2 linked regions of the Alligator mississippiensis genome follow. The main gene of each other region encodes a partner of the protein of the gene in region 2 in a complex. Links are inferred from orthologs where the notes say so. Each region holds a gene or a part of one and is shown on either strand. Other genes may lie near its edges.

Evidence for each region.
Region 1: the proteins of SNTG1 (region 2) and TRPV3 are in contact, whole or in part, in a crystal structure (PDB 7QQN), measured with the Homo sapiens proteins. The link is inferred for Alligator mississippiensis from reciprocal best matches to the Homo sapiens genes SNTG1 and TRPV3. Residues at the interface, in NP_001274742.1 of Homo sapiens: Arg62, Gly66, Gly67, Phe68, Gly69, Leu70, Ser71, Ile72, Lys73, Gly74, His78, Ser85, Lys86, His118, Glu119, Val122, Arg126; in NP_659505.1 of Homo sapiens: Pro786, Glu787, Thr788, Ser789, Val790.

The regions. Positions count from the first base shown.
Region 1 is NC_081837.1:2,417,094-2,424,410, reverse strand, and holds the start of TRPV3 (transient receptor potential cation channel subfamily V member 3), read right to left. Parts: upstream 3,073-7,317; 5' UTR 2,900-3,072; intron 2,531-2,899; 5' UTR 2,438-2,530; coding exon 2,424-2,437; intron 1-2,423. UniProt on the Homo sapiens protein: Non-selective calcium permeant cation channel. It is activated by innocuous (warm) temperatures and shows an increased response at noxious temperatures greater than 39 degrees Celsius. Activation exhibits an outward rectification.
Region 2 is NC_081826.1:76,377,391-76,384,727, forward strand, and holds the start of SNTG1 (gamma-1-syntrophin), read right to left. Parts: upstream 3,059-7,337; 5' UTR 2,907-3,058; intron 1-2,906. UniProt on the Homo sapiens protein: Adapter protein that binds to and probably organizes the subcellular localization of a variety of proteins. May link various receptors to the actin cytoskeleton and the dystrophin glycoprotein complex.

The sequences.
Region 1 (7,317 bases), on a different chromosome or scaffold from region 2:
ATATTTTTCAAAATTCTTCCTTTTGAACAGATTCAGACACAGATGTTCAATTAAAATGTGTTGAGGTTTGAAGTTTCTATTTTGGACTATTTTTGTGTAAGTTATTTTTCAACAAGAGCAGTATTAGAGGTGATATGATACCACCATTAGGAAAACTAGGAAGTCAGTATTTAATTGAAGGGAGTCTAGCCATTTATATTACGACAGATATTGAGAGTAATAGGAGGAACAGAGTAACTTTGATAAACTGCACTGGTGGTTATGCAGCCCTGCTAAATCTAAAAAGTCTATTCATATTTCAACCAATATAGCTTTAGAAAACCAATAAGTTCCAGCAGACTAGCAATATTAAATCTACTGGGTGCAATATAGGAAGGCTGGTGTCACACTAAAACTACTGTGTAGATAAAGGCAGAAATCTTTGCACAGTGATGGAAGAAGAGAAGAGAATCAACCTCTGAGCAAGTTTAGTGACTTCTGACACCAGTGGCAGAACTCAGCTCAAAATTTACCCTTTTATGGTAACTACCAGGGACTCTTGGGCCCTGGTTCAACTGTAACAAAATGAGCGGATAGACAAGAAAAAAAGTCACGATTGCCACTGGTGAATGGTACGACATTACACGTGATTTAAGACTTCAATGCGGGACTTAAACTGAAGTCTTCTTGTGCTGGAAAATGTTGGTTTAAAAAACAAAAAAAAAGGAGAAATAAAACATTTTGAAAATGTATGCTGCTAATATGCATGTTTACAGGATGAACCAGAAGCACAACTCAGAAATGTGTACCATTTAAATAATTATCACCAATAAAAAAAATTGCAATTCTTGCATAGAATTCAGAAGGTCACAAAGAACGCTGCTAGGTGAGGTCCTATAGGGAATAACAGGAGGAAATAAGGGTGGAGACAAAAATTGGAGCCAAAATAAGGAAGGTGATTTAGTGGAAGAGGAAGAATGGAGGGACGACGATGACGTCAGGACGCAGTTGTATGCAGAATAGGTGGGATGAGACAAGACACAAGGAGACAGCTATGGTCGAGATATATAGTTCAAATGTGAGGAATGGCTCAAAAGTAAGCAGTGAGAGGACACAACTAGTGCAAGGACATGAGAGGCCGAAGGAGGGAGGTGGTCAAAGCACACGCTGAGATTGCACTCCCATTTAAAGGCAAGCAGAAAAAAATAGAGCCTTAAAATATGCCCCATAGAGCCCAATGCTCATCTTCAGTATACCTCTACAAATCCCACTGAAATCAATGAGTTTAATGTACACATTATTAACTTGGAGATGCCCCTCTTCAATTTCTCCCTTAGTGTTACTGGGGTAATGACTGAGTGCTTTGGTCCAATTGCCATGCAGGACATGGTAGGCAACCATCAATCCTCTGGATCGCGCTGTATGTGTAAGAGGTCCTGTTAGCCTGATAAATCTGTTTTTACTGAGTCCTACGACCATCACACAAAGACCTTCAATGTGCACGCCTAGGCATATGTTTATAAGCACGATCTCTAACTTCTGACATTTCTGCAGTCTATAAAGTTATTTGAGATGCAGTTTGTATAATCTGATACAGGATGTGTTCTAGATTATCTGAACAATATCTTTTCTTTTGGTCCCACCATCTAGTCTATCATTACTGTATAAGAGACTACTATGATGGCCTATTTGCAGGGGTTAATGTACTAATAAAAATGTCATGCTAGCTCTTAGTACTAGAGAGTAAATTGAAATGGGCTGTGAGTATATTCAGAATATAAGACATAGCTCTGATACAGTAAGTACGAGAAAAGGGCATTATTATTCTGGAACTTGGTTGTGCCACCCTTACAGTGAGTTGTTGCTCACTTTGCAAGTTGTCACAGACAGACCTAATGCTCATCTAATACCAATACAAAAAAACCCAACTTACTGACCCATTACAATTGAACAATCATCATAGTTCAAATTAAGAAAAAAATATACAAAGAGAAACAAACAATGGGCCAATGTGAAATGATGGACTTTTCTTTTTAGGTTCCTGGAAAAAAATAACTGAAGTAATTTCTATTTATTCTTTTTTTTTTTAATGTAGATTTTCTAAAGGAAAAATGAGAGTAACCCTCTTATGTTCTTTATGTCCAATTTTTGTGTGTACCTAGCAAAGGCTAGTCAGGGTCAGCAATAGAACAGAAGAGCAATTCTCTGTACCCCATGAAGACTTTACAGACAGAAAATCTACCACATGAAAAAATGTCCCTTTTCATTTTCCTTGAAATGATTACATATTTCTCTTCGAAGGAAGTGTCATGGGGGCTTACAGTAGCAGGCCCAAGGAGCTACATGAAAAGCTCATTTGTTTTCCCGGCAGAATCCAGCATGAAAAGTACCAGTTCCTTCCCTGGGGGAACATGCTGCAGGAGCATCCGCTGTGCCCGACTCACCCAGCACTGTACATGGCCCCGCACTCGAGAACCTCTACAGGACCTCATCCGACTGCTCCTCATTGCATCGCACCAGGCATCCCCCCTCTGGCAGGGATCAACACTGCCTGTGGTTTCAGAGGAAGAGGAAAGCATGCTTAAAATGCAGTTTTGTTTGAGGTCCTTCTTGCCAAGGAATGTTGGGAGACTATTTCACTAGCACAAATTATCATTCACTAACACCAATATTCATGGAAGTCCCCGTACCTGTTTCACCTCTGAAAACACCCAGTGTTAATGATTCTCATGTCACATAGCCCTTGGAAAAAATGAGTTAAATTTCTCTCACGCACCCCCCACCCCCCACCCCCAAAATACCCCTTACTTCATAAAAACAAAAAATTACCACCATTTTAAGGTTCTCCTAGACCCTCTATTGTCCCTTTGGACATCAAAGTACACTTTCCATCACAGTACACTATCCAGAAGCAACTTACCCCAGTTCAGAACACTTGCATTCATGTATAGGAATGGGTCCTCAATGTTGTGAGACATTCAAGTGCTGCTATTATATCCAAAAACATGAAGCTGCCCAGCACAACAAACTCTTGAATCTCAGGACAATCCTAAAAATGCAAGGCACCCACCCAGCGTCATCTAGTTTGCTTGAGTGTCATTTCTATGTATTAAGTTAGTACTAAAAGCAGCAACATCACCGAGCTGGTTACACCTGAAGTTACACGTCAGAGAGACAAACTTGCTAGACAACAATTTCCTTACCACACAACTGACAAAGTGGGATGATAAGACACCACCAATAATTATGAATTAAAAAGTGTTGCTGATAAAGTTGAGTCATGTTATAATGAGGTAATGACAGTGGCAGAATACTTAAAAGGATCATACAGCCTTTGTCATTTCTTCATTAGAAAGAACCCGGTTGCAGACATATACGTTGATACTTTACACCACATTTCTCTGGCATGCCTAGTGTGTTGCATACCTATTTATAAATATAAAGCAAAAATGAAAACGCTCCAAATATGAGTGAGGAAGCAAAAATGTGTGTTAGATATTACTTTGAGAAAGTAAAAATGAGTTCAGAAAGTCCTGTCAAAGGTACTGTATGTGTTTGAAGTCTGCACTGCCATAAAAGCGATTCAAAGAAGCTGTACCTTTAGGGTTTATGAAGATATGTGAATAGACATGCTTTATATTGGCAACGGTGATTTCATTTTTGGTGGGCCAAGTAAATTGAATGGGATTTTCTCTTAAGCAGCTGAGTGATTATTAATGCAATAGACTTCTTTCCTCTGGCCTTTAAGAGCGTGATCAAGAATTTCTCTCTCCTTCTGTTAATAGGATGTTACCTTTATCAAAAAATAGCGCTTGTAAAAGTTGGTAGGTCTGTGTAGCCTGGAATATATTTAGGATTGCATATGATTATCTTAATTGATATGACAAATTGACTGGGGGTTTGGAAGTAGTGGATTTATCCCACTGGGCCTAATAAAAACATTCTCAGGTCACAAGGGAGAACAGAAGGCAACAGAAATTTGTGGGCAAATAAATCAAGGAGAGTGTTTTGCTGTCTTTCATATCCAGATTCTGTACGAAGCTCTGTTATAGAATCGGGCATTTGGGGCTTGAAGCGTGACTGTACAGCTTTATTCAGAAGCATGTTATGGAAGGAATGAGATTAAACTAGATGGGGCTGCATCTCAGGACTTCTGCTATTTTGCAAAGGTCTGTAGCTCTCCTAATATGTTTTTAAATAATAAAGTGACTATGGTTAAAGTGTTCCTTTGCTGATGCTCATCTTCCTCACTTCCCTGCCAGGTCACCTCCAAGGGAGCTGCAGTGCACAAACCCAGGTTGAATTCGACCTGTTACTATGGTCTCAGGGCATCTGAGGCCCTGGATTTTGAGACCAAGGCAGCCGGGCTGAGGAAGGAGCGTGCGCCTGGGAACCACGACTAGACTGTACCCAGACGAAGGGAACTGAGAAGGGATCGAATAGTTGCACCCACTTAGCAACTGACTGCTGTCCAGTCCACCCAGAACGGGGGACTGGGCTAGGCTGCCGCAAGGAAAGGCCTCGTTTCCACCCCATCGGTTATCAGAGATTGCAATGGCTCTAACCGTCTCCCACAGAACATCATCTTCTCTTTCCCCAGCTGCAGTGATGAAGTCGATAGGTAGATTGACTCCTGAGCTGAAACAGTTTGCTAGGGAACACTCAGATTTGGGGAATATATATTCTATATTCGTTCAGACTTGTCCTTCTGAGAGAGAAAGAGACTCGTTGGAAAAGGGCATTATTTGCCCCAGCCAAGATATTTAAAGAATAGACTCACGCAGGAAATGAGAGGCAGAGTTACACTTAGCGATGCAGTACAGGAAACATGTATAAATATTTTCTTATGGTTATTAGCCGAGACAGCTTAACCTTTTTGCTCTCAAGCCTGCTCTGAGATTTCACACACCATTAGCAGTACTAGTACACTATCCCACAAATGTCCATGCTGGCTTACAAAATTGGGCTTTATCTATATAATCCAAGGCAACCATGTTAGCACTAGTCTCAAGCCATTTGTTTAAACAAAAGTTCTCTAGAAAGGTGCTGACAAAAGTTTCCAATCTACCTCAGTGCAGAAAGGCGCCAACAAACAACTAAATGACATTATTCCTTTCAACCACTTAACAGCAACAATGCCATAAAGGTCAATGACAGAAGTAACTATGTACACGTCCCTTATGAAAAATTACTCTCAAATTTGTATCTTGAGATATTCTGTGTTGTAGAATTAGGGGCCTTGTGACCTTGTTTGGCCTACAACAGCTATTCTGGTTGTTCTGGGAAGTGAAGAGGATAGATTTAGGGACTACAATGAACAGACTGAATAACCAGGAGCCAAATCAGAAGTATGGAAACCCTGGCTTCCTAGATCAGGCGATCAGTGCTGTACTGTCAAGTCGCCTGTTCCACGACAGGATCCTAGCCAAACTCATGCAAAAAGAGGAAGTTTTTCAGACCATGAAGTTAACTCCCTGCTTTTTCTACCCCAAGAGGAACTCAGTAAAAAGGAAAAGCCAGTGTTTGAAAGGACATTTTTAACATGCATAGGTACCACTAAGTCATTTACAATTATCCTCAGAGTTTGTCAGTGTTTCATTCCCAAGAGCCCCCTCTTAGAAAGAACATACTTAAATTTAGCCTTTGGATTGGCTATGTTTAAAAGGGCCTCACTTTCCAAGCAACGTCACTGGTGGTCATTTTCCACTTCCTAGAATAATTGGCTTAACAGAGGTCTTTTTTTGGGGGGGGGAATTCTTCTATGAAAATGAGTTCGAGATTTTGGGTCTATCCTGAGAGGAAATCCACAAGAAAAGCTATCCAGCAGTTTTTTTTTAAACTGTTTACATTTTTTAATGCTGGTGGTATTATTTCCATTGCAGTAACCCCCAAAGGCCCATTATGTTAGGCATTATACAAACCACAAAATAAAGGCACTGTAATTTGCCTGTGGACTTTACAACTAACCTGAAACAGGACAGAAGGATGGAGCTGGAAAGCAGAAAAAGTGACAGCAGTGAGCTCGCGCTACGGCTTAGCTCGCTATAGGCACAAGTGGATGTTGTAATGCTTACAGACAGCCTTTCAAGGAACGAATGCTATGCTCAGTCCCATTCTCTGTGCCATCATTGTGAAAGCATGGCAGGACTGTGACTTTTCTTGATTTCATTAGCTTCATTTTCCACTGTGAAGTTGTTGGTGTTTGGAGTCCAGTTTCCTCAATAGACATCTCCTTGTAATACTGAGGGAGGGTCAGGTTACTGGTTTCTCCACTCCTTTAAAACAGCATACTGAATGGTTAAAAAGTCCATCAGGAGCACAGCTCAGTTATAACAGAATGGAGGACTTCTGCTGCAGCGTGGCTTCCTATTTTCATTAGGATGTCCCATGTGTCTGATGTGCGTGTGATGCAGATTCTGCTTTTCCCTAGCTGATATTTATTTGGGCTATATTGAAATAGGAGGAACATTTAACCCGTACCTGTATCACTGAGTCCCCTTACTGAATGAGGTACATGTTGTACATTGATATGTACTTTACCGATCTTCAAGAAACGCTGCCCCTGTGTGATTTCTAGACCCTGTTGAAAGCCACGCTACTTATTTGGCTATTTTCACTTGGAAGGGGAGAAAGTAAATGAGGTCTCTGAGAAATAATGATCTGGACTGAACTTGTTTTGATGTTATCGTGCTTTTGGACACGTACTTTGCATGGACTCCTCAAATAGGGAGTAGGTGACATCTTCCCAAACATCATTTCTGCAGTGAAAACAGTGGACACATGACTGTACATTAACTACCGCACTTCAGTTACTTCCTCTAATAAGATGCTCCCGTGGATCCCATGCTATCCTCATTATAAGATTATCTTCCTTGTACTACTCAACCACGCCCCTGGGATGGACTGCAGGGAATCACGTAGTAGTATGTTAAGGAAATACAATACAGAGTAGGGGATGGGATATGTTTGAGCATGTTCTTATTTACGAACACAGATCAAATTTTCAGGAATCTGCAACTTAAGCAAGGAGAGAGAAAGAAGTTAAGACAGCAGAAAGGCATTACTATGAATGCATTAATGCAAGTGGAAAGGTGGCAGACAGGAGTGGGTAATCTAGGAAAACCCACCCAGAATGGACTACAGGTAAATGAGGACACTTTGAGAGAATAAAGACAGGCATGGATGGAAGTTTGGGGCCAGATCTGATAAACTGATGTAATGAGAACTCTAGGGGCATAAAACAAAGCATAAGAAAAGGGATCTTTGCTAGAGAGAGCCAGCTAAGGACAACAACTAGAGCCTGTTCCTATGAAGTGGTTGTAGCTTTAACTACTTTGT
Region 2 (7,337 bases):
AAAAATCATGAAAAGTGATAACAGACCAGTCAAAGGGAAAATAAACTCAATCTTTTATACCTATTAAGTATAAAACTTATCTTACACTTGAAATATTATTAGCATAAACTTGTCATAGCTCAAGAAATTAAGCGTGGTCTCACCTTCATGTTTTTTATGAATCAACTACATATTAAATCTGCCGACACTTTCTTCATGCCAACCTCTGATTTTTCAGACTTTCATAACAAAGCGCTACAATTAAAGAAGTTATGGTTGCTTCAGAGCCATTTCTGGGTTTATAAATAGTTTTGGCAGTTATCATTACCAGTGTCCCTGGCTCCCCTATCCCTTCACCGCAGATCCAACCTAGGACACTGGGCCATGTCCATGCAGGGGTGAGAGTAGAATCTCATGGGGCCAGATCCCCACAGTTTGGTTGCATCCAGACAAGTGCGGCTACGCAGTATGTAGCACCACAGACACATAGGTTTAGTGCATGACAGCCTGACAGCCGAGGGAGGGAAGGGATGTTGTTGGAGGGGAGGTGTGGAGAATGGGGAAGCAGAGTCTTTTGAAGCACCAGTCTGCTGGCCCTAAGCTATGACCTTGGGCTGCTGTCTCCCATAACCAGGCAGACAGGAGCCTGCAAAACATGATGGGATGTGTGGTTTGGGTCCCCCTGGCTAGGTCCTTTTCACATTGCAGGCTGGTCTGCAAAACATGCAGATCCCCTTTTCACTTATATGCAGTTTAAGCCATTTGGAAAAAAAAAATTCAACTGTTTGAATTTCAACTGCTGATGTTCAACTGGTTGATTTGAATGTTTGGACACAGACTTAGAAAAATCACATAGGAGTACTGCAGAGTTCACTACCAGGATCCCTATTTACAACATTTTATTAACAATCTAAATATCAGTCTATTGGAGATGTAGAAATCCCAGAAAGAAAGTACCAAGCTTGTATGCTACTTCAAAATAGGAAAGTAGATTGCACACAATGAAATGAGACTGCGTATTAGTCCATGTAAAGTCACATTGTACTATATGGATAAAGAAGGAAATACTAGTGACAGAAATTGAAAGGAAACTACTTGGAAAGTACTAAGCCCAGGAAAGAATGGGGAACAATAACAGAAAGCAAAACCTTAGTGTGTGCTACTAAAGCAAGGAAAATATAATAAGACAATAAAATCCAGCTCTGTTCTTGGATACAGATGCAGGTAATTTCATATAAAAGATGGAGATGACAGTGCTACTTTCCATAGCCCTGGGTAACAATATTTAGAATACTGTGTTGATTTCAGTTTTGGAAGAGGTACTATTGCAAGACTACAAAAATTCATCAGACAGCAATATGAATATATATGATTAGTAGTGAAGTGAGCCTGGGAGACTTTCAATGAAGCAAAAACTGGACCAAAATAAGTAAATTGAACATTTCCTGAACTAGTTTGCAAATTCAGATTCGGGGGGGAGGGGGAGGCAGGGGAGGGGGGGGGGAAGAGGGAAGAATAAAGAATAAACCAATAAAAGGCAAATGATCACTGTGTCCAAACAGATAACTCAAGTCTAACATGTGACATAACTGGGATAATTATATAAAAGAAGAAATATTTCCTCATATTTTTAGGAGATACAGCAATAGTTACAGAAGAAAAAATGCAGCATATGAATTAAGTATACTGCAAGTTACTAGTTATAATAAATAGGATGAAGGTAAAACATACTTAAAGGAGGGGGTCAGGATACCATCAGTGCAGATATTCATGAGTTGATTAGATTAAAAATGCATTAGCAGTCAAGATGAAATGTATCATTTCTTGAAAATGAAGGGGGTCAGACTGGATCACAGAGATAGCCTTTTGTGGCTTTGCATTATAAGATGCTAATTACCACCTTGATTATTTAGTGTATCGAGAAGCACACCTTCTATTCTATTCTATTTACTATGTCCAAGGCTGCCTTATTCCTTAACTGGTAAATTATTTGATTTTGGTGCAGTCTATATAAGCACGTATTATAGGTACAGTTTCCACTTAAAAACATGATCAACATGCCCAAGCATTGTTTTTAGAAATCTGAAAAAGACAAGCTGAATATTGACACAGTTTATAGAAAAGACTTTGGGGGATGGAGGGGAGAATCAGATCTCATGAATAAAGGCTGCTGTCAATTATGCATGACACAGATGCACGAGTCAGCATAGCTGTTCATGTTTTATGGAGTAGGTGCAAATTATTTCCTAAACTGCTAACTGCCACCCTCAGGTCCAGCCCTAAAGAAATCAATGGAGAGCATGAAAAGGAAGAACTCAAGTTTTACAGGGGTTTTTTCATGCAATTTCCTGTATCTACTTTTTTTTTTTAATTGACAAAATTCAAGTTGGTAGCATTCCTCTAAGGATCAAGTAAGACCTTTTAAATTAGACACAGAAATGCCACAAATGGATGAAATAGTTCTGGCATCTTCCATTACAATTTTTCTTTTCTCCACTGAGATTCAAACCCCCAAAAGCTGAAGAGCTGGAGTGTTTAGCTTAAGTGACTTCCTCCTGTTGCTTTTTATGATTCTGATACTTATGCATAACAACCTCTCCTCCCCCACTTCACTGGAGGGAGGATCAGGCAAGGGGGAGAGTTTTTAATAGCTTTTAATAGCTTATTGATTTCACAGGATATAAATATTTCTATGTGAGCACTACTGAATTACAAAATAATCTATAACTTTTTAAAGAAAAGAGAAACTCTTGGTATGGTACACAAGTATCTTAATAGACAATAGCAATAAAAATGGGAACGGAGAGTTTCATCTGACTTGAATATATGTTACAAAGTATTTTTACTGCTATCAGACAAGAAAACTAGAAATAGTGTAAGCAAGCAAAAATAATATAAGCTCCTTCACACCCCACTAGTAGCTGTACCTTATTAATGGGCTGAATGGACTGCACACTTGTGGTGAGAGGCCAGTTCATTCTTCTTGCGCTGTACCAGGAAATATGGGCAATCCATGCATGATCCATGGTTGTTGCAGTATGATACAGACATCAATCCAGTAGGAACCAGAGTGAATTAAACCATTCTTCTTCTTAGGCCCTCTCCACATGTTACTGCAATTGTGCAATTAACTGGTTAATTGGGCAATTAAACTGAGACCAGCTACACATGAAAAGTGCCTATCACACCATAAAAGGGTCCAACCAGCTATAAAGTTAGACCTAAAAAATGTGTACTAACTTTATAGCTGGTTGCTATTCAGCTTTAAATTTGCATATCTAGCAGGGTATCCCCTGCAGCCACAGGGGTGCACCATGCCCAGCTGAGGCTGATGGGACTCTCAGCCCTTGCAGTGCCCAGCAGCTGCAAGACTCTGGGTCCTGGCAGCTGCAGGGTGTGACTGTAAGCTTCCAGCCCCAAGCATCCATAGTATGCCCCCATAGCTGGGAGATCGTAGAAGCTGTGATCTCCTAGCTGTGAGAATCATATCATGCTCCCCATAACTGGGTAGTCATAGTCCCACCGCTGCTGGAACTCACAGCCTTGGCTACATCCCACACACCAGGGCTGCAAGTGCCCTACTTGCTGGTATAAAGGGATCCCAGGAACATGATCCCAGGTCCCCCTGTACAGCAATAAGGTGTGATAGGATCTTAATCTGGATCCCACAATCACGCCTCCTGTCATGCAGAAGGATCACATTTTAGATCCTATATTGTGTGGACCACAGATTAGATCCTATTGTGCTTTTACATGCATGTGTAGAGGAGGCCTTATGCCACATAAAAACTCATCAGATAAAAGCATTGAGCCATTACCAGAAGCCAAATAGAATAAGTGAAAAATTCAATTGACTAATGAAAAGCTCAGGTGCTAAATCAAAGGGCATCTCTTATCAATTCATCATCAATACTTTTTAAGTTTATGAGCTTCCAAGGCAAGCCAAATATTTATTTCTCTGTCAGAACAAAATGAAAACACAGGGCTCTAACTTGAAGAAGGTAGAGTACCAGTTCAAACTCATCATCAGTAAATGTAGTTTGTCTTTTATTACCTTTTCGTACTGTTCTACCAGACCAGGACTGTCTGATAGACCCAAACATGAACAATAAAAAGGTATTCAACCTTTTCTTAGGCATGTAAATTCTATAAAGTCTATAAGAGACTTCTGAATAAGTAGAATGAAAAGGATCTGTCTACAGCAAAATTGGTAATGAGTGAACTCAAGGTGGCTGCTGGTCAATTTTGCAGGCAGATTAGGGCTGGCAACCATTTTCATGGCCAAGTGAGGCAGCCCCCCCCCCCCTTGTGTCTTATTGACCAAGGGCCCGAGTGGTCTTCCCCCTCACCATTGATTGGCTGCAAGGGCTGTCTATCATACAGCCCTGACCCTCACCCCTCCCAAAGGGAGCCAGCTTTTTATTATTGGTAAATTCCCCCCACCCCGCTCCAGGGAGCCTGCCAAAAGCACAGAGCCTTCACTTTATCACAGAGCCTACCCAAAATCTCAGTGTCCATGAAAATTACAAAATTGCAATTTTAGTAAGTCCCTAGGAATTAGCTCTCAGAGGATATTAAATTTGTCATGGTCACAGATTTAGGACTACGTAAGCTAAAGGAATAAACTGGTTTACTATCAAACAGCAGATTCCTGTTGAACTTCCCAACACCATCAGCTATTTATTGTTGTGCCACATTAACAATAAAATGATGGATTTAAAAGGTCTTAGAATGTATTCTATTTCTAATTGGAATCAAAGCTATTAAGATCTGAGACCTCTTCAAGTCACGTTCACTGATAAGAAAGCTCATCATCCTCAAAGAACATAATGAATAAATATGTATAAGCAATTGTTGAAATATAAAGCTGTTTGCTCCAGTTTGTGACAAATAAGAGTCCTAGATATTTTTGAGTCATAAATGCTCAGTACAGTTTTCATTTGAGCATAGCTTGAGTTTAAGCAAAGTCTGGGTGAACCAGCAAATGGACAGATTGTTGTAGATCTAGAAGCTGAAATAGACTGGGATGGAGATGAATTTTTTGCATCTTTGATAAAAGTAGTTTTACTTCAGGTTTTCCTTATTCATCCTGATTTAGCCATAGTAGTGTAACAAAGGAGACATAGATAGGAAGGACAATAGGGCAGCAACCCCAGGTGCCACCTTCATGGGGGGCACAGAAATAGTCATTCCTGTAGGTAATTGCACCACTTCTATTGGCTTGGTGGCAGCTCATGCTGCCCCAGATGTCGTGGCTGACCTAGGTACAGAGCTGCCCTGCTGCACCTCTGTTCAGTCATATTTATGGATATAGAGGAAACTGATATTTATTATAATTAGTTAACCTCACATCCAGAAATAAATCTCAAGACCACAGGAAGGTAAGTATAGGTAATGACAATGTGGAAAAGGTAGAGAAATAAGGAGCAATAATCACTGAGATCAATCAAAAAACTGAAGAAAAAAAAATCAAGGGAAGAATGTACAGTGCTCATATATGCCTGTTAAGCTTGGTTAAAATAATGGTGTCTAGGACTTAGAGTAAATTAAAGGTGAAGACTCTGTAGCTGAAGGAACGTCCTGATTATAGGGCTCTGACTTAGAAGCAAATAGCAACTTACAGCCACATTGCATATTACACTTAGCATGTATTAAATGCACTTAAAAATGAGAGTAACCCCATGTTTAACCAGTAAAACATTCTAAGTGTTCTCACATTGTAGCAAAGTCCCTATTTTTTGCACAAGGAGCATCTCCAAATCATATTAAATATTATGCATTTGACCAACACTAGACTGTTCCACAGAGATAATAAGCAATCTACAGTCCTCACTAAGCCATAATATCAGCCATGGATCCCTCTGATGTACCAAGCCTCTAGATAAGACAAGGAAAGTCACATGTCAAGGGTAAGAATCCTGGATTTTTTACTTGTCAGATTCTTCCAAGATCACATGGAAAGCCAGGTGCTTTCAACTCCAGAAGGTCCCAGGGCAATCAGCTGATCATTGGTAACAGTCCTGGCACCATACCATACCACACCATAGCTGGTTCAAGACTCCAGTAAGGTACGGGGCTGGGACTAACAATCAGCAAGCTGTGCATGACACAGATCCTAGTAAACAGTACCATGTGACTGATCAGAACACAGTTTTAACACTAAGGGCATTTACAGATTTGCTCTGGGAGGCGGCGGGGTGGAGGTGCTTTAATTCGTGTGGTTCCAAGAACTTGACACCATTGCTCCTTGTTCTGTCATCTTCTGTCATGAAGAACAATCTAACTCCATTCCTTTTGAAACCCCGCTTCAGGTAGTTGAAGGCTGCTATTAAACTCCTTCTCAGTCTTCTCTTCTGCAGACTAAATAAGCCCAGTTCCCTCAGCTTCTCCTCAGAAGCCATGTGCCCCAGCCCTCTATCCATTTTCATTGGAGGTTTTTAAGGCCCAGCTTGACAAAGCCCTGGCTAGAGTCATCTAGTTGGAGATGGTCTTAATTTGATCAGGTGATTGGACTAGATGACCTCCTGAGGTTCCTTCCAACTCTAAGTTTTTCCAACTCTAAATCTTCTATATCAAGAGCCTTGCTAAAGTCAAGGTATATCATGTCTGCTGCTCTTCCGACATCCACAGAGCTAGTCATCTCATCATAGGCCATCAGGTTGGTCAGGCATGACTTGCCCTTGGTGAATCCCCTTGGGACTCGGAGCGGGGGGGCAGCAAAGGCACCAGTCGCAGGGCTCAAGTGCCTATATACTAATGCAGGATGAACTAGCGCTCCTGCTTGCACTAAACACCTATGACTTAGTGGGGCTAACAGAGACCTGGTGGGATTCATCCCATGACTGGGCGGTACATATTGAGGGCTATAGATTGTACAGAAAGGACAGGTCGGGGAAGAAAGGGGGGGGGGTTGAACTTTATGTCAGTGAGCAATATACATCAACCCTCATCAAGACAGAATCCGAGGTTGAGGAAGTAGAAGGATTGTGGGTTAGGCTACATGGGGGGCAAGGAGAAAGGGATTTGGTGGTAGGGGTCTGCTCCAGACCTCCACACCAAGGGGAAGAAATAGATGCGGGGCTCCTGAGGCAGCTCTTGGAGACCATAAAAGCTAAAGAGGCGGTAGTCATGGGGGACCTAAACTACCCGGACATCTGCTGGGAGACGCAGACAGCAAGGTCCCATCGCTCACGCAGGTTTCTAACCTGTGTACAGGACCTCCACCTGACACAGGAGGTGCATGGTCCCACTAGGGGGAATGCCATACTGGATCTGGTATTGGCAACAGGGGATGACATGATAGGGGACCTCCAGATCGGTAGCCATTTGGGAGACAGTGACTGTGGCAGAAATGCCAC